Linked DNA regions of Oryctolagus cuniculus. The protein of the gene in region 7 interacts with the protein of the main gene of each other region in a pairwise test. Links are inferred from orthologs where the notes say so. Each region holds a gene or a part of one and is shown on either strand. Other genes may lie near its edges. The genes, in order: FAM161A, CCDC33, LNX1, PPP1R18, NIF3L1, ENKD1 and CCDC102B.

What was found.
Region 1: the proteins of CCDC102B (region 7) and FAM161A interact in binary tests that used the Homo sapiens proteins (3 or more experiments, as listed by UniProt). The two-hybrid records come from large-scale screens. The link is inferred for Oryctolagus cuniculus from reciprocal best matches to the Homo sapiens genes CCDC102B and FAM161A.
Region 2: the proteins of CCDC102B (region 7) and CCDC33 interact in a two-hybrid assay, tested with the Homo sapiens proteins (2 studies listed by BioGRID). The two-hybrid records come from large-scale screens. The link is inferred for Oryctolagus cuniculus from reciprocal best matches to the Homo sapiens genes CCDC102B and CCDC33.
Region 3: the proteins of CCDC102B (region 7) and LNX1 interact in binary tests that used the Homo sapiens proteins (3 or more experiments, as listed by UniProt). The link is inferred for Oryctolagus cuniculus from reciprocal best matches to the Homo sapiens genes CCDC102B and LNX1.
Region 4: the proteins of CCDC102B (region 7) and PPP1R18 interact in binary tests that used the Homo sapiens proteins (3 or more experiments, as listed by UniProt). The two-hybrid records come from large-scale screens. The link is inferred for Oryctolagus cuniculus from reciprocal best matches to the Homo sapiens genes CCDC102B and PPP1R18.
Region 5: the proteins of CCDC102B (region 7) and NIF3L1 interact in binary tests that used the Homo sapiens proteins (3 or more experiments, as listed by UniProt). The two-hybrid records come from large-scale screens. The link is inferred for Oryctolagus cuniculus from reciprocal best matches to the Homo sapiens genes CCDC102B and NIF3L1.
Region 6: the proteins of CCDC102B (region 7) and ENKD1 interact in binary tests that used the Homo sapiens proteins (3 or more experiments, as listed by UniProt). The two-hybrid records come from large-scale screens. The link is inferred for Oryctolagus cuniculus from reciprocal best matches to the Homo sapiens genes CCDC102B and ENKD1.

The regions. Positions count from the first base shown.
Region 1 is NC_091433.1:140,941,812-140,945,942, forward strand, and holds the start of FAM161A (protein FAM161A), read left to right. Parts: upstream 1-1,331; 5' UTR 1,332-1,804; coding exon 1,805-1,987; intron 1,988-4,131. UniProt on the Homo sapiens protein: Involved in ciliogenesis.
Region 2 is NC_091443.1:109,313,392-109,316,184, reverse strand, and holds the end of CCDC33 (coiled-coil domain-containing protein 33), read left to right. Parts: intron 1-1,444; coding exon 1,445-1,558; intron 1,559-2,092; coding exon 2,093-2,206; 3' UTR 2,207-2,293; downstream 2,294-2,793.
Region 3 is NC_091439.1:110,399,100-110,402,599, forward strand, and holds part of LNX1 (E3 ubiquitin-protein ligase LNX), read left to right. Parts: intron 1-1,437; coding exon 1,438-1,640; intron 1,641-3,500.
Region 4 is NC_091436.1:139,749,969-139,753,468, reverse strand, and holds part of PPP1R18 (phostensin), read right to left. Parts: coding exon 2,887-3,500; intron 1-2,886.
Region 5 is NC_091434.1:39,117,357-39,121,423, forward strand, and holds the start of NIF3L1 (NIF3-like protein 1), read right to left. Parts: upstream 2,801-4,067; 5' UTR 2,699-2,800; exon of another isoform or gene 2,654-2,698; intron 945-2,653; exon of another isoform or gene 852-944; 5' UTR 768-851; intron 671-767; 5' UTR 646-670; coding exon 210-645; intron 1-209. UniProt on the Homo sapiens protein: May function as a transcriptional corepressor through its interaction with COPS2, negatively regulating the expression of genes involved in neuronal differentiation.
Region 6 is NC_091449.1:50,907,477-50,911,749, forward strand, and holds the start of ENKD1 (enkurin domain-containing protein 1), read right to left. Parts: upstream 2,801-4,273; 5' UTR 2,700-2,800; intron 2,552-2,699; 5' UTR 2,537-2,551; coding exon 2,452-2,536; intron 2,361-2,451; coding exon 2,193-2,360; intron 1,790-2,192; coding exon 1,617-1,789; intron 1-1,616. Other genes in the region: C18H16orf86 (uncharacterized protein C16orf86 homolog), read left to right, coding at 3,037-3,132, 3,330-3,538, 3,903-4,273. UniProt on the Homo sapiens protein: Microtubule-binding protein which regulates microtubule organization and stability. Promotes the stability of astral microtubules and facilitates the proper orientation of the mitotic spindle.
Region 7 is NC_091441.1:9,984,277-9,987,776, forward strand, and holds part of CCDC102B (coiled-coil domain-containing protein 102B), read right to left. Parts: coding exon 3,303-3,500; intron 1-3,302. UniProt on the Homo sapiens protein: During interphase, forms fibers at the proximal ends of centrioles to maintain centrosome cohesion. During mitosis, dissociates from the centrosome following phosphorylation to allow centrosome separation. Contributes to CROCC/rootletin filament formation.

The DNA.
Region 1 (4,131 bases), on a different chromosome or scaffold from region 7:
CTGCCTGTGGCACTAGCACCCCATATGGGTGCCGATTAGTGTCCCAGCTGCTCCACTTCCACTCCACCTGGGAAAGCAGCTGGCCTACGTGGGAGACCCAGAAGAGGCTCCTGGCTTTGGTCTTACCTTGGCGGTTATGGCCATTTGGGGTGTAAACTAGCAGATGGAAGATCAATCTCTCCTTCTCTAACTGCCTTTCAAATAAATACATGAATCCTAAAAAACAACAGGGGAGACGGAGATGGCATTCCAGATTGCTGGTTTAGGCGTGGTGCAGCCCTAGCCAATGTGGCCATTTGGGCCATTGAACCTGCGGACGAAGATCTGTCTTTGTCTTCCTCTCTCTAACTTTGGCTTTCAAATAAATTTTTAAAAAACTTTTAAAAAGTAAATAAAAACTTCCCCTCTTAAATAATCATTTCCCCCTAAATAAAAGTTACCTGCTTGTGGAGTTAGACTTTGGAAATGATTCTTCGTGGTTTCCTCATTTGCTGCAGGTAAGTTACTTTGTTTTGTTTAAGATTTTATTCATTTATTTGAGAGGTAGAGTTAGAGTAGAGACAGAAAGGTCTTCCATCTGTTGGTTCACCCCCCAAATGGCCGCAGTGGCCGGAGCCGCGCCCATCCGAAGCCAGGAGCCTCTTCCGGGTCTCTCTTGCGGCTGCAGGGACGCACGCACCTGGGCCATCCTCCACTGCCTTCCCAGGCCACAGCAGAGAGCTGGACTGGAAGAGCAGCAGCTGGAACTAGAACCGGCGCCCCTGGCCGCAGGCGGAGGATTAACATATTGAGCCTCGGAGAAGGCCCCCAGATAAGTTGCTTTGTGTGACAGCTCCTCCCGGTGTTTCTTAGAACTCGCCAGAAAGCGGGACCACACTTTGGAGTGACAAAGGCCCTTAACAGAACGGGAAATAGTGCAGACTTGGCCAGGGGCGAAGGAATCCAAATGATAGGGCGAGGAAAGGGGCGGCGGCCTTGGTCTCACCAAGGAGGGGCTGAGGCAGCATGTGACACTCTGGCTTGGCCTCTTGCAGCCACGTGGTGAAGGGAAGGAGCCAGTGGAGGCGCCCCAGTGCCCAGTGGGAAGGTGGCGGGGGTGAGGTGGAATGAAGGTGTGTCTATGGCGCGTCGGACACTGGCGCCCTCAGTCCCCGCCACTCATAGGCCTGCGACTCCAAAGCGAGCATCGCGTTCTGTACGGGTATCGTCATTGGTGGGCGGGCCAGGCGCCACCCTACCCTGGGCTTTTTATTGGTCAGGTCAAAAAAATCGCGCGAGAGTCACCTAGCAGCCTCCTTCTGATTGGCTGATTCCTGCTCAGGTCAATCCTTCCCCTTCTCTTGCTCTGAGGCAGCCATGTTTGGTATTGGGATACAAATCTTGACATTCTTCTGAGGTCACTTCACAATAAGATGCTACTCTCCTCCGCCATCATCCCCTCCCAACCTGGTATTCCAGTTAATAAAAATGCGCTCTTGTCTTCACAAAACGGGTGTGTTATGATAGTGTCAGAAGTCTGCGTTTAGGTGACCGGAGGGGAAGAGGTGCCCTTTTCCGTCCGCAATCTTCTAATCCAGCAAACAGATTTAGTTCTGACTCCCATTCTCCAGTTGAGTGACGGACTCGGGTCCCAGGCAGCCCGAGAAGCTTTTTAGTCTTTTGATCCCTCGCAGCCCCTGTAGCGTCCCTAGTTACCGCGCCCCTAGTAACCGCCGGCTGTAAGCGAGGAGCCGCCGGGTCTCCCGGGCCGCGCCAGCTTACCCGCCCCGGGCCAGCGCTGGCGCTCCGGCCTCGGAGGCGGGTGATGGCCGCCTCACACCGAGAGGCCAGGCTGGCGGCCGCCAGTCTCCAACTCCCGGTAAATCCCAACACCGGAGCGCGGGTCGCCCAGTACGAACGCGAAGACCCCTTCACTTCCCTGACGGCAGCGGCGGCGGCCTCGGAGGATGAAGACGACTACAAAGTTGTGCGGCCTGAGCGAGTGGCGGTACAGCGGGGGCACGACCGGGGATGGGACTGGGCGCGGGCTAAGGGCTGGTCCCGGTCCCCGCCAGGCTGATTTCCGGCTGGGAGACGCGGTGCCGCGTGCAGATCCTCCCGACCCGGTCCCCGGCCCACCTCTTTCTCTGCCCCCACAGAAAATACTCGACACGGAGGCGTGGGAAGGCCTTTTAATTTTCACCGAAGAGATTACTATAAAAATTTCTTGGAGGGCATTCATGTCACTCCATTTTCTAGACAGTTCAAAGTACAGAATTTTATTCCCTACTCTTTAAGTATCTGTTGGGAATGAACAGCCAGTATTCGCGTTTTTTTGTTTACTTAACGAGGAAAATTAATCTATCCCTTGGTGGATAATCCCTGAAGAAACAGGTGCATCAGCTGTGCTATCAATTGTACTTTAGTGTTACCTGACGGGTGTTTAAAACATCAAGATGGTGGGTAAATCGACACACGTACAGATAAATAGCCAGAGAAGCAAATTACTGAGATTCCAGTGCTTCCCAAATGACTCCTCAGGGTGGGAGGAAACAGCCTATTCGTTGATCAGTTTTCAGAGCCACATGTGTCCTGCTCGCAAGTCCACCAGGTTCAGCGTTCTTTAATTTGTCCAAAGCGTCTCATAAGCTAACTGTCATGGCCTGGGTCTAGTAGAAATAAATAACTGCATGTTTTGGAATTGTTATCTGTACTCTAAAGCTATTAATGAAAAATTTTGTAGCAGCATTTTGTATGGCCAATATCTCTCCAACAGGGTAACAACTCATGGTTATCCCTAAGTAAGGCAGCTGGAGACCCTGAACATGAACCAGGGGAAGCATCCGAGGACCAGCTTTGCTGTAATAAAGCTCCCCCCACCCCCACCCCTCACACAATTTTCAGTGGGCAACAAAGGAGGCACAGTGATGGAGGAAAAAAATCTTTGAATGGAGGAAAAGAATTTGGAATCCTGAAGTCGAATCCATTCTCTGCCATGTGCTGGGTGATGTTAGCACATAACTTCCTTAAAATCTCAGTTTCTTTCTCTGAACAAAAAGAATAATTGTCTCTCTTTCCCAGCTGACCTAGCTAATATAAGATCCAAATAAGATAATGTATGTTTTATTGAAAGCACAATTTATATAAATAATAGTTATTTAATTTTTTCAATTTATTTATTTAAAAGGCAGAGAGCTAGAGACAGAGACAAAGAGGGATCCTTCGTATGTTGGTCCCCCAAAAGCCTGCAGTAGATATGGCTGGGCCAGGTTGATACTGGTAATTGGGAACTCCATTTGGATCTCTCACGTGGATAGCAGGTACATAAGTACTATCAGAACCATCACCTGCTGCCTCTCAGGTCATGTATTAGCAGGGAGCTAGAATTGGAAGCGGAGTCAGGACTTGAACCTAGGCACTCTGATACAGGATGCAAGCAGTATCTTAACCACTGTGCCAAGCACCCACCCCAAATTAAAACAACTGCCCATGGGACTGCCATTTGAACAACTTGCCCTAAGATGACAGTGTGATTTGGCTGCTGTGGTAGGGGAGTCAGTCATTTATCTGTAGTGGTAATTACACTTCCAGAGGGCCTGTTAAGCTAAAATGTATACTACAAACTAATATTACCTTAGGAGAGATTAGTTTGTACAATGAGCTAGTTTCAAAAGGATGGGGACCTACCCAAAAAAGAAAACTAAGTCTTATGAGTTTGACACTGTTCTGAGGCCATCGTACCTGACAGATCCCAGAAGTAAACCTTGATAAGCTACCACAGAAAGTCCCACAGGGCAGAAAGTTCTGGGGCTGGAGGAAAAAGTGCTGAAAAGACAGGGAAGAGAGTGTAGGAGTCAGATATTTGCCTTCAGATTGGTTAGAGTCTCTATCTCAAATTTTCAGGGTTAATTTGTTTCAGTTTTGTCAAATATAACATGTAAATGCAGATACCATACCCACCAGAACTATCACAATAAGCTTCTGTTAGTCCTTTTGTTTTGCCAAAGCCAGTCTACCCCATCACTTCCATGCACCATAACCCCCTCCTGTATACATATACCCTTACGTGATTCTTTGACCTTGTTTGGGCACTTAGGTATGGTGCTTGAATCTAGTTTGGAGATATCAGTTTATAGGTCCTGCTATGTGGGT
Region 2 (2,793 bases), on a different chromosome or scaffold from region 7:
TGGGACCGGGATCAGGGCTCAGGGGGTGTCCAGGGTCAGGGCTCAGTGTGGGACCAGGATCAGGGCTCAGGGTGTGTCCAGGATCAGGGCTCAGTGTGGGGCCAGGGTCAGGGCTCAGTGTGGGGTCAGGGTCAGGGCTCAGTGGTGGGACCAGGATCAGGGCTCAGTGTGGGACCAGGGTCAGGGCTCAGTGTGGGACCAGGATCAGGGCTCAGTGGTGGGACCAGGATCAGGGCTCAGTGTGGGTCCAGAATCAGGGCTCAAGGGGTGTCCAGGATCAGGGCTCAGTGTGGGGCCAGGGTCAGGGCTCAGTGTGGGACCAGGGTCAGGGCTCAGTGTGGGACCAAGGTCAGGGCTCAGTGTGGGGCCAGGGTCAGGGCTCAGTGTGGGACCAAGGTCAGGGCTCAGTGTGGGGCCAGGGTCAGGGCTCAGTGTGTGTCAAGGGACAGGCTCAGTGTGGGGCCAGGGTCAGGGCTCAATGTGGGACCAGGATCAGGGCTCAGTGTGTCCAGGATCAGGGCTCAGTGTGGGGCCAGGGTCAGGGCTCAGTGTGTGTCCAGGGTCAGGGCTCAGTGTGCACCAGGGTCAGGGCTCAGTGTGGGACCAGGATCAGGGCTCAGGGGGTGTCCAGGATCAGGGCTCAGTGTGGGGCCAAGGTCAGGGCTCAGTGTGGGGCCAGGATCAGGGCTCAGTGTGGGGCCAGGGTCAGGACTCAAGGGGTGACCAGGGTCAGGACCAAGTGTGGGACCAAGGTCAGGGCTCAGTGTGGGACCAGGGTCAGGGCTGAGTGTGGGGCCAGGATCAGGGCTCAGTGTGGGGCCAGGGTCAGGGCTCAGTGTGTGTCCAGGATCAGGGCTCAGTGTGGGGCCAGGATCAGGACTCAAGGGGTGACCAGGGTCAGGACCAAGTGTGGGACCAAGGTCAGGGCTCAGTGTGGGACCAGGGTCAGGGCTGAGTGTGGGGCCAGGGTCAGGGCTCAGTGTGGGACCAGGATCAGGGCTCAGGGGGTGTCCAGGGTCAGGGCTCAGTGTGGGGCCAGGATCAGGGCTCAGTGTGGGACCAGGATCAGGGCTCAGTGTGGGACCAGGATCTAGGATCACGGTCTGACCAGGGTCGGGGCTCAGTGTGGGACCAGGATCAGGGCTCAGGGGGTGTCCAGGATCAGGGCTCAGTGTGAGACCAGGATCTAGAATCATGGTGTGACCAGGGTCGGGGCTCAGTGTGGGACCAGGATCAGGGCTCAGCACGCTGCAGGAATGCAGGGAGGTCCCTCTGCATTGTCTCACTGGGTGGCCCCCTCCCCTCCCCTGCTGCTCCTGGGGTCATGGGAAGATCAAGGCCATACTCCCCAGAGCTTTGCTTTCCCCCGGGCCTGCTTGTCCTGGCTTTCAGGGACAGGCCCTGCTGCCCACTGCCCACCAGTTGTCCCCCTCTGTGCCCGCAGTTGGAGGACTCGGCTCGGCGCTGGGGGCGGGAGAAGCAGGACTTGGCCATGCGCCTGCAGGAGCAGGAACACGGCTTTGGGCGCCCCTCAAACTCCATCATCATAGACGCCCCCGTGAGTGGCCCCTCCGTGGGAGCAGCTGCTGGGGCTGGGAGCCACCCCACCCCTTAAGTCACTGAGACAGACTGGGCGGAGCCGCTCCTGGGCTCTGGGTCCTGCTGTGTCCCCACCACCCTTGCTCTGGCCCCATTCCTGCCCCTGCTGAGCGGAGAAGACCCTTCGAGGCCGCCCTGGCCTTGCGGTGGCCAGGAGACACCTGGAGGAGGTGACCAGGAGACGCCGGGTGCTTCCTGCACCCCATGGGTAGCTTGTGGCCCCCAGCCTGGGATGGCACAGGCTCCTTCTCAGGAGACGGCACAGCCACTGTCTCCCCAAGAACCCCCACGCTCGGCCTGTCCACTCTCTGCTCACGTACGGAGGCGTGGTGGCTGGGTTGGGAGGGAGGCTCACAAAGGACTAGGGGACCGACAGGGGACGCCCCTGGGCACCGTGGGGGGCACCTGCTGGCCCCCTGGGTTTTGGATCCTGGGAGGCCTGCTGTGGCCGGCCCACCCGGGACACGGGGCGCTCACCCCCCTCGCCTTGCAGCCATGGAAAGCCTCGACCCCCGCCAAGGACCTCGAGCGTCCCTCGGATCTGGAGCCCCTGCCGCCAGGCTCGGACACGAAGCTCGGCAAGCCCGCGGACCCCCAGCAGACCTGAGCTCCAGAGCAGGCCTCCCCCGCTGTCCTGGGGGTCTCCCCGCGGCCCCAGCCCACCCTGTGACTTCATTAAACATTGGAGCACCAAGAGCGTCGGCCCGTTTCCTAGAGCGGCGTGGCCTTGGGCCAGCCTCCGCCTCCCGGGGCTAGCAGCAGGGCCGGCCAAGGAGCTATGTCTCCATCTAGCCAGGTGGGCGCACCAGGCGGGCAGGACTAGCCCACAGCGCCGGGCTCCCTGCTCCCACAGCCGGGCTCCACCTGCACCTCTGTTGGCTGCCCGGGCACAGGGAAGCTGCACCCCCACACACACGCTCTGCCTGGCCCCCAGCCCCCTGCTGGCTCCTGAGCTGCCAGCAGCAGGCAGGTCTCCACGGAGAGGGCCTCTAAGTGGGTGCCTGAGCCCCTGAGGCTTCTGTACTGGGTGACAAACACCCCAGGGGCTCCAGGGGAAGGAAGACCCTCCGTGCGGTTCGGCCGTTTATTGTCCTGATGAGGGCGAGGAAGGGGCAGAGTGGGGAAGAGGAGCGGGGTGGGGCCAGAGATGAACCGACAGCCGTGACTCCCCTCACTGGTGGGGCGGGGCCTTCC
Region 3 (3,500 bases), on a different chromosome or scaffold from region 7:
CACCTGCCGCAGCCCGCTCTCGGGGGTGGGGGTCGGGGCGGAGGAACCTCTGAATTTATCAGAGCCAGGCCTGCGGTGTCAGATCTTTCCAGATGGCAAACGCAGAGGCAGGGCCCAGAGGCTTCCCGGCCTCCGTGTTCCAGCCCGAGCCGCCATCCCCAACACCCCTCTGCGCACTTCTGTTCCAGCTGGGGTGCAGAAGCCGTGCTGTTCCAGGCTGCTGGCTGCCACACGGGGCTGCAGGGGATCCCACGGAGGCCCAGACAGCCGGGCTCTGGGCTGGTGCTGCAGACCAGCAGGCTCTGCCATGCCCAGGCCGGTGCCGCCTTCCCCTCACGGCACTTAAACAGCCGCACTTGGGAAGTAAAGGCTTCACTGCCAGGCTGCCAGGTGGCCACGGTGTGGGGCGGAGCCACAGGGCTGGGAGAGGTTTCTTGGGGAAGGCAGGTCCCTCAGCTGAAAGCAGAGCCCAGGGGAGGGCATTGGAGCAGTGGCCGGATGCTGGCTGGAACACCCACGTCCCGTGGCACAGTTCCCCGGGCCAGGGCGGCAGCTCCACTCCCGATCCCAGCTGCCGGCCGGCGCACACCCCAGGAAGCAGCAGGTGATGGCTCAAGTGGTTGGGTCCCTGCCACCCATGTGAGAGACGCGGACGGAGTTGCCAGCCCCAGCTGTTGCAGGCACCTGGGGAGTGAACTGCCAGAATGGGAGATCTCGCCTTCTCCCTCCTTCAAATAAAATACATTTTTAAAAACAGAGTCTGGAGACACAAGTCAGGTGATCTGTGGGTCTCCTTGCAGCTCTGAATTCGGTGATGTTGGCAGTCCCCGCCTGCAGCTAGCCATTGGCCACCTCTGGGTCCCGACGCAGGTCTCTTAATGTGCATTCCTGGGCAGCAGGGTCCGGGGGCACGGATGACTCCTCGTGTCTGAAAGGTGGGCCCTTCAGGGTGATCGGGGATGACCGAGAGCAGGATTGTTGTGGCCTTGTCTCTCGGCGAGCAAGGGGTGAACTGCAGCTTGTTCCATAGAGCCCACGAGGTCATTCATTCCTGTCCGCTCAGACCTGTGTGCAGGATCAGCCAGACTTTACGCCTCAGGGTTCCAGGGTCCGTGGGGCGCCTGAGAAATGGGCGTGAATGGCGATCGTTGGAAATGGAGTGCAATAAAAATAATAGAAAGGTTATGGGGAACGGGGCGGCCAGGGAGAGCCAGGGAGAGGGATCGTTCAAACAGACTTGAAGGGAAAATTGGGTTTCGGCCCAGGTTGGAAAAGTATTCCAGGCAGAGGAAGTTGGGCTGGCACAGAGGCGGTGAGTGGAACGCAGCCACGGGGAGCGATGAATGGTCCTGTTTGGCTGAACCGGGCTCTGGCGAGATGAGCGGTGGAAATGTCGCTGGGTGGGTGTCTAACAAACGCCGCCTGTGTGCCTTTCAGCCTATCCGAGGCTGTATCACCTGATTCCGGACGGGGAGGTCACCAGCGTCAAGATCACCCGCGCGCATCCCCGGGAAAGCCTCTCCATGAGGCTCGTGGGGGGCAGCGAGACGCCGCTGGTCCACATGGTCATCCAGCACATCTACCGCGACGGCGCCATCGCCAGGGACGGCCGGCTCCTGCCGGGGGACATCGTGCTGAAGGTGGGGGAACCTGTCCCAGCCTGAAACGGGATGTGGACGGAGGGGCCGATGGACGGATGCGGGGGGTGGATGGATGGGCAGATGGACGGACAGATGGGAGGAAGGGAGGGAGGGAGGGAGGGAGGGAGGGAGGAATGGACGGATGGGTGGATGGATGGACAGATGGGAGGGAGGGAGGGATGGACAGATGGGAGGGAGGGAGGGATGGACGGATGGGTGGATGGATGGACAGATGGGAGGGAGGGATGGAGGGAGGGAGAGAAGGAGGGAGGAATGAACGGATGGAGGGATGGATGGACAGATGGGAGGGAGGGAGGGAGGGAGAGAGGGATAGATGGACAGATGGGAGGGAGGGAGGGATGGACGGATGGAGGGATGGATGGACAGATGGGAGGGAGGGAGGGAGCGAGAGAGGGAGGGAGGAATGGACGGATGGGCGAATGGATGGACAGATGGGAGGGAGGGAGGAATGGATGGATGGGCGGATGGATGGACAGATGGGAGGGAGGGAGGGATGGACGGATGGAGGGATAGATGGACAGATAGGAGGGAGGGAGGGAGGGAGGGAGGGATGGATGGACAGATGGGAGGGAGGGAGGGATGGATGGACAGATGGGAGGGAAGGAGGGATGGATGGACAGATGGGAGGGAGGGAGGGATGGACGGATGGAGGGATAGATGGACAGATAGGAGGGAGGGAGGGAGGGAGGGAGGGATGGATGGACAGATGGGAGGGAGGGAGGGATGGATGGACAGATGGGAGGGAAGGAGGGATGGATGGACAGATGGGAGGGAGGGAGGGATGGACGGATGGATGGGGGAGGGATGGAGGGAGAGAGAGAGGGAGGTGGGAGGATGAGTGGACAGCTGAGTGGAAAGGAGGAAGAATGGACGGACAGACAGACGGATGGGTGGCTCGACGAGGGAGCGTAGCAGGTGTGGCTCGTCGCTCTGCATACTTAGTGTGTTCTCAGGACTTCTCAGGCGCGAGTTGTGATTGAGCTGAGACAGGTCCCTCGCCCCGCCGGCCTCTCCCCTTCCTCCCCCTACACAGAGGTTTCTCTCTGTGTGGTTTCGTCTCTGCCCCTCCTTTCCCCACGCCCCCCTCCCCCTTCTCAGCCTTCTTCATCTTCCTGGCCCTTTCCCCGTCTCCTCTTTCTTCTGCCCTCTCTCCTCCCACCTCCCCTTCCCAGGCAGCCTTAGTAAGATACAACTGGAGCTCCCGTGTCCTGGCATTGGCCGGAGAGCGGAGTCGTGGGAAATCGTGTACTTTCTAATGTCACCTGCTGTCCTGTAGTTCAGTGGAGAGCCATGGGAACAAAAGTCGCTCCCCCCGACGCAGACACCCTCAGGGGAGACAGGCAGGAGCCTCATACCCGAGGTGCTGTCCCCCGGGGGCTTCCTAGCAGGAGAGCAGTGAAGGGGGGTTTCCAAAGAGAAAGAGGGAGGGGAGTGTTTATCAGACAGGGTCCACAGTGTTTATCAGACGAGAGACTCCCCCCTGCCCGTGGGTGTCCCGCGTGATGCACAGTCACGTGCACCCCTCCCCCTCCAGGTTGCTGAAGGACAAGTGTCTGTCGCACTGGGAGCCGCTGCTAGGGCAGAGTGATTGACACAGAGGAGAAACGCCTTCCCACCAGGCCCGGGGTAGAGCACACGGCCAGGCCGCTCCTCATCAGGGGCGGGACCTCCGGCTGCCTGGAGGGTTGCGGAGCAGCGCCTTTTAATTCTTGTGGTCTTCAACTGGCGCCTGCAGGCAAAGGGGCTGCCAGGGCTCCAGCAGGCAGCCCTGAGCTCCTCCCTCCCCCACCCCCCCACCTGGCTGTGCCCGGGCCCCAGCTGCTGCCTTGGCGCTGCTCT
Region 4 (3,500 bases), on a different chromosome or scaffold from region 7:
GCCACTGCGGCCAGCACGCTGTGCCGATCCGAAGCCAGGTGCTTCTCCTGGTCTCCCACGCAGGCGCAGGGCCCAAGCACTTGGGTCATCCTCCACTGCACTCCCGGGCCATAGCAGAGAGCTGGCCTGGAAGAGGAGCAACAGGGACAGAATCCGGCGCCCCGACCGGGACTAGAACCCGGGGTGCTGGTGCCACAGGTGGAGGATTAGCCTAGTGAGCCACAGCACCTGCCTAAAATAAATCTTAAAAAAAAAAAAAAGAAAAGAAAATGGCACAGAGAACCGACACACATCCTTTCATGTACTTTAAATCACATCTAGGTGCCTTCCAACATTGAATACTGTGTAAATGCTATGACAGTGAATGTTCCAGTGTTGTTTAGGGGGTAACAACAAGATAAAGAGGATGCACGTGGTTAGCACACATGTGACTTTTTGTTTTTTCCAAATACTTCCTGTCCTCTGTGTGTGGACGCCATGCACAGCGAGGGCCAACTGCACTTACTATGTGGGTATCTGCTGTTGATGGAAGTCTCGGAATGCGGAGGTTCAGCTATCTCCGACCTCAGATGAGGTCCCAACACAGGACCGAGGCTGGGGGGCCAGGTAGGGGTATACAGGTGGCCCTGATGCCATGTAGAATCAAGTGACAGCAACTACATTGCTTACAAGCCAGTCTCTGGTCTGTGGCTCCTGGATTCTGTTGCTAGCGGGTTTACCCAAATTTCTAGGAATCCATTTGTTTCCTCTTCAGAGCCTCTTTTGGGAAGACCACCTCTGTAGTTTTATTCTGCATTCTATTTGCCCTGAGTCTCCCCCAACTCTGCCTCTCTCCACTACCCCCTCCACTTCTGACTGGGCGTCTCAGGAATGCAGAGTCTGCATGAGAGTGGGGGGGGAGTGGGGGGTGACTCACTGGCTTCTCTCTCATCTGCTATATAAGGTCACCCAGGGGGCCGGAGAAGGGCGGGGCCTCCGGGGAAGGCACCAGCCACAGCCCATATCCTGGGCTCCAGTGAGTGGCAGGGCTGGCATCTCCGCTGGTAGCAGGGATCAATTTGATGGAATTAGCCTGCAAACGGCAGTTATTCCAGGAAGGCAGGGTGGGGTAGGGTGGCAGGGTCGTCCTTTCGCTGAGCCAGGGTGGGTGGGGCTGAGCTGGGCCAGGACACACCCGCCCCTGCTGAGCAGGCGCTGAGGGAGAGGAGAAGGCCTGAGGCTGGGCAGAGGGTGAGCTGCCTCTTCCCCGCCCCCACTGCACCCCAGCGGGCTGCTTCCTTATTCTCTCACCACATCCTGAGCACAGTTCTGGCAGGCCCAGGGCCCACTCAGCCCCACCAGCTTTCCGGCCCCCACCCCAGGTTTCCTGTTTGGGCGATCTGCTTCCGGCTGCCCTACTCCCTGACCTGGGTATGGTCACCAGCACTGGCCCTGCCCAGTTGTTAGTTCCCGGCTCCCCTTGGATGCTCCCTGGGCTTTAAGCCCCAACGCTTCATGCCTCCCTCCGCTGGTTCCCCAAAGGACGAGCAAACCTCAGGGGGAAGTGAGTTTTCTGAACACCACACCCAGGCAGAATTTCCAGACCTCCCTCCTTTGCCTCTGCCCAGCTCCAAGGGAAAGGGGCTGGAAGCAGACAGAGGGTTCAAGGTAAACTCGCAGAGGCAGCTGAAGATGCAAAGTGACCAAATGACCTCCAAGCTTAAGCCAGGTCTTTGGTCCCTGCGGCTTCCCACCAACAATGGGGACCCAAGACAACACATCTGAGGCCATGACACGCCGAAGGAGCCGGGTACGGGGCTTCCCAGGCTGGGAGTGGAAAGACGTCTGCTTGCAAGGTCAAGTGTGGGACTGCTCCCTAGGGATTTTCAAACTGGAAACTGATGTGCCCAGGGCAGGCGTTGGGCCACGGCCAGGGGGAGAAGTCAGCCTGGCTGCTGCCACTTCCCCTGTGTGTCCCAGCCTCAGTCCAACCTCAGACCCGCTGCCAGTCTCAGCCCCCACCTGCTGCTGTACCCTGGGGCCCAGATGCACTTCTCTTTCTACCGCTGTTGGGGTGGCGGTGAGGGGGAGGCCAGGGTGGCAGGAAGAGAGGGGGGAAAAGCTACTGCTGAGCCAGTTCTGGAGAGGGAGGGGCAGCTCAGGGAGGAAGGACAGGGGGTGGGGGGGTGGGGGTATTTTGGAAGAGGAAAAGGCTGTTCTTGTCCCGAGAGAAGGGAGTACTGTCTGAGGCAGTGGCCCAGCTGGGGGGTATGCAACCCCGAGGTCACCCACTTCAAATGGCCTCTGTGTGCTTCTCTCCCACGGGGCACACTTGGGGTTCCAAAGCTTTCTTCTCTCTGCTCCGCAGCAGGCCCTGCCCCATCCCCTCGCCCGCCAGGCTCTGGCTCCCTGGCCCTCAAAGCCATAAGAGCTTCCTCTCCACTCCTCCCTGCCGCTTCTTCCAGAACCCAAACCGGACTCCCTGCCGATATTTGCTGCCCCCCTCTCTCTTTGAGAGCTCTAAGTGCTGTCAGCCCGATCACCTCGATCTTGCAAGCTCGGGCCCACATCTCTCCCACCAGATGGGCCGGGGTGGGTCCCAGCTCAGAGCAAAGGAAGGAAAGCAAAGGGGGGTGGGGTGGGAGTGAGACTCAGCCGGAGGCAAGGGAGAATGAGCAGGCTGGGCACACCCTGGGAGACACACCCAGAGACAGCAGCACTGCTGGGCTGGTCCCTGGGGCTCCGAAATGAATGGAAAAGCAGGGCTCCAGAACGAAGGGTGGTGGCAGGGACGACGGGAGAGGGAACAGAGCAACACGGCGGGTATAAAAAGCAAGCCCAGATTCCAGAAAACCCAGGGAACTGACAGGTGGGTGGCCCAGAAGTCTGGCCGGGCTGCTCCCCTACCTGTTTGTGTTGTCTTTCGGGGGACCCCTTGGCAAGGCAGCTGCGGCTGAGACGGAGGTAGCCCCCCAGAACCAAGATCTCCTCGGCTGTCGGGTACCGCTTCTTCCCAGCCCCAGGGACCGCAGCATCAGCCGGGGCTGGGGCAGCCGGAGCGGCGGGGGTGGCCGGGGGCAAAGACCGCCGGGGGTTGACGGTGAAGGTGTGTCCACTGCGGCGGGGGGCCCCCACCCCTGGCCCGGCCTTCACCCCATAGAACAGTCGGCTCATGAGGGGGTCCCCAGAGGGCTGGGGAGCAGCAGGGGCTGGGGGTGGGGGAGACAGAGGGGCTGCTGGTGGGGGCCGGAGTCCCACTGCTTCCTCTTCCTGCAGTCTCGGGCCGGCAGTCCCAGCGTCCTCTGGTGGGAGGGGGGAGGGTGCAGAGCGGAGGTTCTGCGGGGCTCTCAGAGGCCTGCCCTGAGCCCCCGCCTCCTCCTCTGCTGCCTCGGCTTCTCCAGCCCCTGTACTAGGAGGCCCCAGACGCCTCTCGACAGACTCTGGAGGTTCTGCTTTGTGAGGCTGAGTCTCTGCGTCCCTGGGTGTCCACTCTCGAGCCTTTCCGGAGTTCAGGGTCCATT
Region 5 (4,067 bases), on a different chromosome or scaffold from region 7:
TGCTCTCTCCTCACTCATTAAGGGTAAAAGATGTTTCATTTCTCAAAGGCAATTTAATTGCCATATTTCAGCAACATTATTTCAAAGTATATAAAAATAGAATACCCTGCTTACCCCTAAAACATTAAAACTCTACTGGAAAGACATTCTAAAATTTCAAAGTATTTGTAGAGAAAGTATCAAATATGAAAGAACAAGAGGCTTCTCACCGAGCCCTTTGGACAGCCAGTTGTTCACTCCCTGGGGTGCAGCGTCATAGGCTGTGTGAGGAGAGTAGATGGCAACTCTGTTCTCCAAAGCCCGGATCACCAGGCGCTCCTTCCAGGACTTCCAGGTTATGCGCTTCATGGGTAGGAAGATGGGTGGATGGTAGGAAAGGATGAGATCCGCCTTCTTTTGCAGAGCCTCCTCCATCACTGGCTCAGTCAAGTCATTGGTCAGGAAGAGTGTATTCACAGTATGTGGTGGGCTTGGTTCCACCAGCAACCCAACATTGTCCCAACTTTCAGCAAAAGACAGGGATGCAAAGTCATTCAAGGAGGAGATGAGCGCCTTCAGATCCATGAAGGAACGGGAAGAACTGCAGTTCAGAGAATGGACAAGCCGGACTGTCGAGGGGGCCAGGCGTGCACAAGATGACAACATACAGCAAGCAGGCAACGCTCAGTTTCTGAAGTCAAACACAGAGAAGAGTACACATGTACAGTTCAGGCCTGCACCTCCGAGGCTTCAAAGCATCTGAGTCAAAGAGCTGCTGTCATACTAACCTGGGTTCAAATACTGCCTCTGCCACTTAGCTCAGTCATTTAACCTCTTGTAGCTTTTTTGTTTGCTCATCTGAAAAACAGAGACTGGGGCCAGCGTTGCAGCACAGTGGGTTAAGCTGCCTCTTCCAAGGCCGCCATCCTCAATTCTAGTTGCTCCACTTCTGATCCAGCTGCCTGCTAATGCGCCCGGAGAAAGCAGTGAAAAATGGACCAAGTGCTTGGACCTTTGCCACCCACATGGGAGATCCAGATGGAATTCCTAACTCCTGGCTTCAGACTGGCCCAGCCAAGGCCATTGTGGCCATCTGGGGAATGAACCAGCAGATGGAAGATCTCTCTCTCTAACTCTGGGTTTCAAATAAATGTTGTAAAAAGTAAAATAAAAAATGGAGACTATAACCTACTTCACAGGTCCTCCAGAGTGTACATTAGCTTTTTGTTACTACAGTGAAATACAAGAAATATAGCCAACTATAAATTTAATGAATAAGCATAACACAGTGATAGCAAAAATAAATTTTTTCACAATGTCTATTGCAAAAATATTTTAATAGGATGTGGATACTCAATATATTACTTTTTACACTGTTATTTACTTTCATATTTTATTCAAATGACCACAAGATGGAAGCCAGAAGCCTAGAACTCAATCTAGGTCTCCCCCATGGGTGGCAGGGACCCAAGGACTTGACCCACCACTGCTGCCTCCCAGGGGTACATTGGCAGGGAACCGGAATCAGAAGCTGGGGCTTGAATCCAGGCATTTCAGAATAGAATGCCAGAGTCCTAAGCAGCATCCTAACCACTATGCCAAAATGCTCACCCCTGGTTAATTCTTTCTTTCTCTCTTTCTCTCTTTCCCTCTTTCTCTCTTTCTCTCTCTCTCTCTCTTTCTCTCTTTCTCTCTTTCTTTCTCTCTTTCTTTCTCTCTTTCTCTCTCTCTCTCTTTCTCTCTTTCTCTCTTTGACAGGCAGAATGGACAATGAGAGAGAGAGAGACAGAGAGAAAGGTCTTCCTTTGCCGTTGGTTCACCCTCCAATGGCCGCCGCGGCCAGCGCGCTGCGGCCGGCGCACCACGCTGATCCGATGGCAGAAGCCAGGTGCTCTCCTGGTCTCCCATGGGGTGCAGGGCCCAAGCACTTGGGCCATCCTCCACTGCACTCCCTGGCCACGGCAGAGAGCTGGCCTGGAAGAGGGGCAACTTTGAAACCAAAACCACTTTCCAAAACCACGCAAGGTCTTGGAAGATCTAATGGTTCTGACACCACTTCCACCCTCCAATTACATATCCTGATACTAATCCACTCTCCCAACTCTTGTAAATCTGGCCAGCTCCAAAGCCGGCGTGCCACCGCGAAGGGTTTCCGTCGTTTACACGTGAAAGAGCGCTTGGAAAGAAGGCGGTGAAACACCGCCACGAGAGAACGGGCGGCTCCAAGCCCGGAGCCACAGGCAGCGAGAACAGTGGGTGGCAGCCCAGGACGCTGGTGAACTGCACTGACGGAGGCCAGACCGCAGTCCTCGGCCACACCTGTGCCACCACGGGCAAAGTACCTGACTTCTGAGGTTCTGCCCTGTAAAAAGACGAATATAAAAACGCCCAGCTCGTAGTACGCAGGCGAGATTTAAACACAAGGCAGGAACAATGCCTGTCCTAGAGCCCCTGTGTTATCGCTAGCCAATACGACCTGCAAACGACTCTGCCTTGCTTCGTCTCCAGCTCACTCCAGTGCTACTTCAAGCCTTTCCCAGGCAGTGAAGGGTCAGAAGGCACAGTGTGTAGGTCCTCGGGAACCCCGCCCCACCACTGCCCTCTGCGCTCGTTCAGCAGGGCAGTTTTGTGCCCTCTTTTTCTGCAGCACCCACGTCTAACAGTCATCTCCTACCCTGCCACAACTCCTCTCTTCGGGTTTAAATTGCCCACTACTCACGAGTCCGGGCACACCTCCGTAGCCACCACTTCCCGTCCCGAGCCGGCTCTCCTGGCCTTCGGCTATAGGCAGCGAGGAACAGGGCGGAAGTTGGTCCCTCCTGTTTTACAGTCGTACCCAAAACACTGCCTGAGTTTGGCGGGTAGTTCCGGGTTATGCTCCGGACTCCAGTGCAGTTAACAGAGCTGCACCTCGCCGTCAAATTTCAAATTAGCGGATAAATCACATTGTTTCCCTAGTGCTAGTCATTTTGGTTTGATATTAGAAGAAGGGAGGAAAGAGGAGGTAAGAAGGCTCTCTCTAATGGGTCCCGCGCCCGACTTCCGGTGGCCCCCAAACTCGTAATTGAGAACCGAAAGACTTGTCCAGGCTTCTGCAATTGCATCTTCGCTGTTTAACAACGGCTGTGCTGACCGAAGTGGGTAAGTGTGGGGCAACTTCATTCATTCTTTCATTTACTTTTTCAAGGGCTTGCTGAGCCCTGTATTGCACTGTTAGTTCTTGGGACACTTGGAGTGAACGTGCTGTGTGGCAAATGTGTTGCTGGAACGGCAGAATAAGTAAGGAAAGGATTTAGTATGTTTAGTATGTTAGTGATAAGTAATTTGGGAAGAGAAAACAGTACAGGTCCTGGGTTTCGAGCACTGTATTTTTAAACATTTGTTTATTTTTATTTATTTGAAAGACAGTTGCAGAGAGAGAGAGAGAATCTTCCATTCGGTGGTTCGCTCCCCCAAATGGCCGCAATGGCCGGAGCTGAGCTGATCCGAAGCCGGGAGCCAGGAGCCTTCTCCCGATCTCCTACGTGGGTGCAGAGGCCCAAGCGCTTGGGCCATCCTCTGCTGCTTCCCCACACCACAAGCTGGGAGCTGGATTGCAAGTGGAGCAGCCGGGACTCGAACCCGCGCCCACATGGGATGGCAGGCAGCAGGCAGAGCCCTAACCTACTAGCCACAGTGCTGGCTCCTGCAGCTGTTTAAATAGGGCTGTGAGGTAAGTAAGACTTGACATTTGAGGAGAGACCTAGAGGTAAGGAAATTAGCTGTAAGAAAGTGTTAGTGTTAGTGTTGCCAGCCAGTGCCTGGATTCTAAGGTGGGAATGTACCTGGCTTATTGGACTTGCAAAGAGGCTCTTAGAGAAGAGTGAGTAGAAGTAGCAGATTGCTGGGCTTCATTCCATAGGGTCTCATCACTTCTGTAACTGGATTTTTGTTACATGGGATACCACCCCAGGCTTTTTCTTATTTACAATAAAGATGAGCCTCTGTGAATGAAGACAGCAGGAAAATGACCTTAATTCTTTCTTCTTTTTGGGAATAGACTTATTCTTGAGCTTCTCTTAAGACTCGGAGAAGTTAAAAAGAACTCC
Region 6 (4,273 bases), on a different chromosome or scaffold from region 7:
ATCCTACCATGATACCCCTGCCCTACCCTTCCACTGTCCTCAAAGTAAGCGTTTGAAAAGTGTCTTCGGGGTGGGCATTTGGCACAGCAGTGAAGACCCTGCCTGTGGGGTGGCCATGGTGGTGTAGTGGGTTAAGCTGCCGCTTGAGATGTCGGCATCCCATATCAGACTGCCAGCTGAAGTCCTGGTTGCTCACTTCCAGTCCAGCTCCCTGCTGTTGCACCCTGAGAGCCAGCAGATGATGGCTCAAGGGCTTGGGACCCTGCCTTCTACTAGGGAAACCCAGATGGAGTTCCAGGTTCCTGGCTTCTGCCTGGCCCAGTCCCAGCCACAGGATGGAAGCTCCCTTTGTTTCTGTCTCTATATCTCAATCTGCCTTTCAAGTAAATGAAAATAAGCAGTCATTTTTGAAAATACCATAATCATTAAAAAAGGGCATTGCTTAGGATGCCTGCATCCCCTATCAGAGTGCCTGGGTTCCAGTCTGGGCTCCACTTTTCATTCCAGGTTCCTGCTAATATACATCCTGGGGTGTGTGTGGGGTTGTGTGTGTGTATGTTTGTGTATGTGTGTGTGTGTAGCAGGTGATGGTCAAGTACTTGAGTCCCTGCCACCCATATGGGATTCAGTTCTGGTTTCCTGGCTTCAGCCTGGCCCAGCCTCAGCTGTTGCAGGCATTTGTGGAGTGAACCAATGGATGGAGGATCTAGCATTCTCTGTCAAATAAATCCAATTTTTCCAGAAAGTGGCTTAGACAGTTAAGACCCCATGTTCCACATCAGAGTGCCTAGGTTCCATCCCCAGCTCTGGCTGCTGACCCCAGCTTCCTGCTAATGCAGACACTGGGAGGCAGTGGTGATGGCTCCTGGCCTGGCCACTGTGGGCATTCGGAGAGTGACCCAGCACATGGGAGCGCTCTGGTTCTCGGAAAGGAGGAGGAAGGAAGAAGTGGAGAAAGAGAGCAAGGGAGGGGAGGAGGGAGAAAAAAAGGGAAGCGGCTTGGGGGTCCTTTATGACGTAGCTCCGGCTGACTTCCTGGCCTAACCTCATGCTTTTCCCCTCTCCCAGTGGGAGCCACACTGCTAGCAGAGAACCTGGCACCTTCACTGCCTGCTCCCGCTGGTCTCCGGACTCCCGCCTGTGAGGTTCCATCTCTGTGGCATGTTCTTTATTTTTTTTTCTTTTAATTACACTTTGCTTTTTTTTTCTTTTCCTTTCCTGAGGCAGAGAGACGGAGCTCCCATTGCCTGGTTCACTCCCCAGGTGCCTGTAATGACTGAGGCTGGGCACCAGGAGTGCGACCCACGTCCCTCAGGTGGAGCAGCCTTCACCACTGCCTCCCTGGGGTCAAAGAGCCGCAGCTGGGGACGGAACCCAGCACCCACCCTGATGTGGAATACAGGCTTCCGAACCAGCGTTTGCACCACTAGGCCACACGCCCGCCCTCTTTCTGGAATATTCTATACTACTCTCCCCTTGCCCAATCCCTACTTGCCATTCATGACCAGCATAGCCATGACCACTTCTGAGAAGTGACCCCAGCCCCACGCCATGACAGCATCAGGTGCCTCCCTCCCCACAGTGCAGGCCAGGGTTCGGCTCCTTGGGGCGGGTACCTGCAGCTGGGCCTTGACTCGAGACTCCACCTTGTCATACTTGGGTGAGCGCCACAGAGCCTTCAGCGGCTGGGGCTGGCCCTGCTCCCGGCCGTGGCCCTGCTCCCGGAAGCGTCTCTGGATCTCCTTGATCCGCCTCAGGTTCTCCTTCTCATGGTCTTTAGGGTCCTTCCCTGGGGGAAAGGTGCTCCCAGGCTCTGCCCTGACCAGCTCCCTGCCCGCCCTCTCCAGAAAGATCTCCCGGTTTCTGTGTCTGCCAGACGCTGTCTACACACCAGACCTCCCCTCGCTCCCCTGCCTGCATGTAAATCTCCCCTCGTTATTTTCTGTATTTTTTCAGTAAATACCCTGGATCGCCTCATGTCTTCACTTACTGCCTCCCACCTTGCCTACGACCCTGCTTTCCTGGCACCCACAAGGCCTGCCACACAGGAAACACGTTTTGATGCATGAATTAATGAGGTTCCCTCCCGCGGGAAACTGACGCTCAAGAGAGGCAAAGCCTGGGCCCAGGTCAGGGAAGGGACAGCCGCTTTTGATTTCCAACTGCCTCACTGCCCCTTCTGCCGGACTTACTCTTGGGCGAGACCCGCGGACTGAGGGAGATGCCCTCGAGCTGCAGCAGCACGCCCCCTACGCCTCGCCAGCCACGCTCCAAGATCTCTCGGCCTCCGGGCCTGATGCGGGGCCCGCGGGGTGGGGTGGCGTCCGGCTTCAGCGCGTTTCCTTCGAGGCGGCCCTGGGCTGAGGGGCGGGACAGGGCCGAGTGCGGAGCTCAGCGGTGGAGCGGCAGGCGATCCCGGGCCTTGCCCCCTCCGCAGCACCCCCGACTCACCTGAGGCCGGCCGCCGGTAGTAGTCTGGGCAGAGCGTGGGGTCTGGGGGGATGGGCCCCGAGATGCGGGACGGGCCCTCGCACATGCTGTCCTCGACGCCCTGCAACGGTGCACCGAGGCCTGCCAGGCTGTGCACCTCCCGCCCGGGACTCCCTTCCCCAGCCCTGCGCCTCCTCCCTCCACCTAGACCCAGACCATGGCAGTGCCCCCCATTCCCGGCCCCCTTCGTCTCCCGCCCCGCCGCTAACCCACGTCCCTTCGGGGTTCGCGGCCTCTTCCCGGTAACCCCCGAGCCCGGCTCACTCTAGCAGTTTTGCCGCCAGCTGCAGCACCGCGAAGGGAGTTGCTGTTGCCAGGCAACGAATGGCTTCCGTCCCTGAGGTCAGGGGCAGTGACCCTGGCGCAAGGCCTTCTGGGGCTTGTAGTTCCAGCCGAGGGCAGGTGGGGCGACCACCAATTTCCCTTCGCAGCTCGCTTCCCAGCCAGTCTCTGTGGTCAGCTCAGGGCCCACCAGTGCAGCCCCTCATGGCTCGTCTCCCTTCTCTCCGTAGGTAACCGGCGAGGACGCGTTGACCCCGCGCAGCCATGGCCTCGGCAGGGGCGGAGAGGCCGCCAGGAGCCCAGGAAGGGGTGGCCGTGGGGCCGGCACAGCTCGTGAAGGCACCCAGTGGCCGCTCTGAGGTGATGGCCAAGGCTGTGAAGCCTTCACACCCTGGCCGTGCCACACTGGGGGACCGGACTCCGGATGACCAAGCTGGGGCTGGGCATGGGCTGGTGCCCTCCACCCCGTGTTTGGTGGCTAATGCTGGGCACCAGCTGACTTATGGCTATAGACTCTACCTAACCATGGTGACCAGTTGCCTATGTGTCACTTCTAGTGCCCAGTGATGGAAGCTCAGTGCCTGGAGCCAGCCTACGAGGCCTGCAGGACCCCAGGTGCAGACAGGTGTCCAAGAGGACATGCCTCAGAGCCAGAGCTCCAGGAACGAGCGCTCAAGCCGCAGGTGGAAGCACCAGAGGAGAAAGGCCCCAGGCCTATGGCCTCCCCCATGAGGCCTGGTCATGGGCCCAAGAGGAAGCCAGTCAAGTGAGGAGGCTTCCAGGGAGAGAGCCGCAGGGCTGAGGCGTGGGGCTCACACCCTAGTGGGGTTCTAGGTCCTGCTCTCCTGTAGAGCAGATTCTTGTCTCCTCCCACTACCAGTGCCCTCAACCCTTTCTGCTTCCTGCTGTGGGGAGCACCACGGGAGATGAGGACTTGGCTCACATGAGCTCTGGGCCCCGGTTGGGCCTGGGGCCTCACTGACCAGGAAAGGGACAGGTAACCAGCCCTGGGGTGGTGGGTAGGCAGGGCTCTTCCCTAGGCCTAGGGCCTGGGGGCTGGCTTGGCAGGCCCCTTGTCCCTGGCTGCAGTCCCCCAGCCTCCCCAGCTCTAGTCTCCATGCCCATCCTAGGGTTGAAGCTGAGCTGTCACCAGGGCTACTGCTGCAGAGGGAGGAGTCGGAGGGAAGCCAGAGTGAGCCCTCACCATCCCCGAAACAGCACAAGAAAGCAAAGAAACGCAAGAGTCTTGGGGCTCCTGTGCTGGCCGCCATGGCCAGCACAGTGCCTGCCCCCTCAGAGGCCTTGGGACCAGAGCGTGAGTGGCAGCCCCTGGGCCTCCTCTTCCCTCCCTGCCTGCTGGCCCAACATGGCACAGAGCCTGGCACTCTAGCCCTTGCCCCGCCCTGGGTCCTTGCAGGAAAGGCCCAGCGCCTGAGGCCACTGTACCAGTACATCAACTACTGCAACCCGGAGCTGAACCAGGCAGGGGAGGGGGACGAGG
Region 7 (3,500 bases):
GTGCTGGCGCCGCAAGGTGGAGGATTAGCCTATTGAGCCACGGCGCCGGCATCATATACTGCTTTCCCACGCCATAGCAGAGAGCTGGATCGGAAGTGGAGCACCCAGGACTCAAACCTGTGCCCATATGGGATGCCAACGCTTCAGGCCAGGGCGTTAACCCGCTGCGTCACAGTGCCAGCCCCTGATTAGTTCTTAACAGTGGTGACACAGAGATACTGTAATGAAACCTCAAAATACTGTGAATGTCTCAACATAATACATTTGAAGAGAAACCTTCATTTTCAAATGCAAAGCCTGGTTCATTCATATAATTCATTGTAATAACCAAGAATTAGTTTATGGATTCAAGGAACATTGTACTAGCTATGTCTCTAATTCAAATACTCAGATATGCCATGACACAACTAAATTTTAAGAATACATACTGTCGGCTGGTGCTGCGGCTCAATAGGCTAATCCTCCGCCTGCGGCTCCGGCACTCCACATTCTAGTCCTGGTCGGGGCGCCAGATTCTGTCCCGGTTGCTCCTCTTCCAGGCCAGCTCTCTGCTGTGGCCCAGGAGTGCAGTGGAGGATGGCCCAGGTTCTTGGGCCCTGTACCTGCATGGGAGACCAGGAGAAGCACCTGGCTCCTGGCTTCAGATCAGCGCAGTGCGCCGGCCGGCCGCAGTGGCCATTTGGGGGGTGAACCAACGGCAAAAGGAAGACCTTTCTCTCTGTCTCTCTCTCTCTCACTGTCCACTCTGCCTGACAGGAAAAAAAAAAAAAATACATACTGTCTCTCCAGAGACATATTCAAAGGTACTAATGACTTAGATTGTCATACTAAAAAAAATCTATAGGAAAAAAATGTCAGTAGACTAAATACACAAAAGGAATTGCATTATTACAGCCTTTTAAAAATTTTCATTGATAATGGAATCTAGATTATACCTACCTGAAGTTCCACACTTCATGGAAAGGCTTAAGATTTTAGATAGAATTGTAGAGATGCCATCTAATACATAATATGTTTTTAGAGATGGAATTTAGTAGGAAGAAATAACAATGTAAAATGAGTTCCATAAGTTCTCCAAAGTTCCATGGGGTTCCTTACCAGGTTAAACATGAGGAGGGGAGATTCCTGGATAAAGAATGTATAAATGGCTAGATTAAATGAAACTTTCTAAGTTTATTTTGTGCAAAATTCTCAGAAAAGTCAAGCTCAAAGTATACTAAATAAGTCTAAGAGTGACTATGCAAAGCATTTCCTGGTTCCCATTTTACAAGGAGTTAATCGTGAGACCAGAGTTCCAAACCCTGGGAAATATTCAAACTATCCTATGAGTCATTTGTTACTATTGACATAAGTGGACAGAGACCTCTTCAAGTATTTCCTTTTCACATGACAATATGCTGGATTAAATTCTGTTAGAAGTATTAGTCAAGTCACGGATATGTGCTGAATTGTGTTCTCTCAAAATCCGTATATTGATATCCTAACCTTTATTATCTATGAATGTAACTATTTGAGAAAAGTCCTTTAAAGGGTTGATACAAAAGAGTCATTGGGTGGCCCTAATGATGGGATATGTACAGGCAAAGGAAATCTGTACACACAGACACAGGAAAGAGATGTGAGATCACAGGGATTAAATGACTATCAGCCAAGAAGAGACTCAGAAGAATCCAACCCTGACGCCTGGTGTTCAGATTTGATCCTCTAAAACTGTGAATACAGGGCATCACTGTGGCATAGCAGGTTAAGCTGCCACCTGCAACATCAGCATCCTACAGGGGTACTGATTCAAGTCCCAGCTGCTCCACTTCTGATACAGCTCCCTGCTAATGCACCTCGGAAAGCAGAAGAAGGCCCAAATCCTTGGGCCCCTGCACCCATGTGGGAGGCCCAGAAAAAAACTCTTGGCTCTGGAATGGCCCAGCTCTGGTCTTCTCTGGCCACTGGAGACTGAACCAGATAGAAGAATTTCTCTACCTCTGCCTCTTGGAAACTCTAACTTTCATGTAAATAAATCAATCTTTAAAAAAAAAAAAAAAAAAAAAAAAAAAAACCTGAATACCCACATTTCTGATGCTAAGACCACCCAGGAGCTGGTACTTTTTTTTTTTTTAACCTAGAAACCTTTTACTTAAAGTGTACAAACTTCACATATTTCACGTCTCAAATTTAGGAATTTAGGGATTATTCCACCCTACCCTTCCTTCCACCACTCTTCCTCTCTCCCACACTTCCACTTTTCTTCCTTCTCCCTCTTCTATTCTCACTCTTTTTACTAAGATCTATTTTCAGTTAACTTTATGCTCATAAGATTAACCCTACACTAAGAGGTCAACAAATAGTTACGAAGAAAAAAAAATCATTCCTCACAACTGCCCTAGCAAGCGAACACGGTAACCAATGCCTCGTCACCTCCCCTTTCTCATCACTATGGAAGGCCTTCAAAAATGCAGGTATCCCCTGGTTCCTCAGAGCAACTTTTTTTTTTAAAGATTGTATTTATTTGAGAGGCAGAGTTACAGGCAGTGAGAGGGAGAGAGAGGTCTTCTGTACGCTAGTTCACCCCCAAATGGCCGCAATGTTGGGACCTGTGCCGATGGGAAGCCAGGAGCCAGGTGCTTCTTCCGGGTCTCCCACGCGGGTGCAGGGGCCCAAGGACTTGGGCCATCATCTACTGCTATCCCAGGCCATTGCAGAGAGCTGGATCAAGGACTTGGACCATCCTCCACTGCTTTCCCAGGCCATTGCAGAGAGCTGGATCAAGGACTTGGGCCATCATCTACTGCTATCCCAGGCCACAGCAGAGAGCTGGATCAAGGACTTGGGGCATCATCTACTGCTATCCCAGGCCATTGCAGAGAGCTCGATCAAGGACTTGGGCCATCATCTACTGCTATCCCAGGTAACAGCAGAGAGCTGGATCAAGGACTTGGGCCATCATCTACTGCTATCCCAGGCCACAGCAGAGAGCTGGATCAAGGACTTGGGCCATCATCTACTGCTATCCCAGGCCATAGCAGAGAGCTCGATCAAGGACTTGGGCCATCATCTACTGCTATCCCAGGTAACAGCAGAGAGCTGGATCAAGGACTTGGGCCATCATCTACTGCTATCCCAGGCCATTGCAGAGAGCTGGATCAAGGACTTGGGCCATCATCTACTGCTATCCCAGGCCACAGCAGAGAGCTGGATGGGAAGAGGGGCCGCCGGGACTCGAACCGGCATTCACACGGGAATCCGGCGCTTCAGGGGAGGATTAACCCACCACGCCACCGGCGCCGGGCCCAGGAGGACCTTCTCACCCGACTGCCCACGGTCTCCCGGGTCCGGCGCTGTCCTCTCAGCAGGCGCTCCCCCACACGCTCACACGTTTGGGAAGCGACTTCAGGTTCATCTCCGTGTTCCCGGGACGCCAGAGGAGCGAGGGGAGCGGGGGCGGCCGGGGGCTGCTTCTGAGGGGCCGCGCCCTGTCTCTTCCGCAGCTCGCTCAGCTCCTTCAC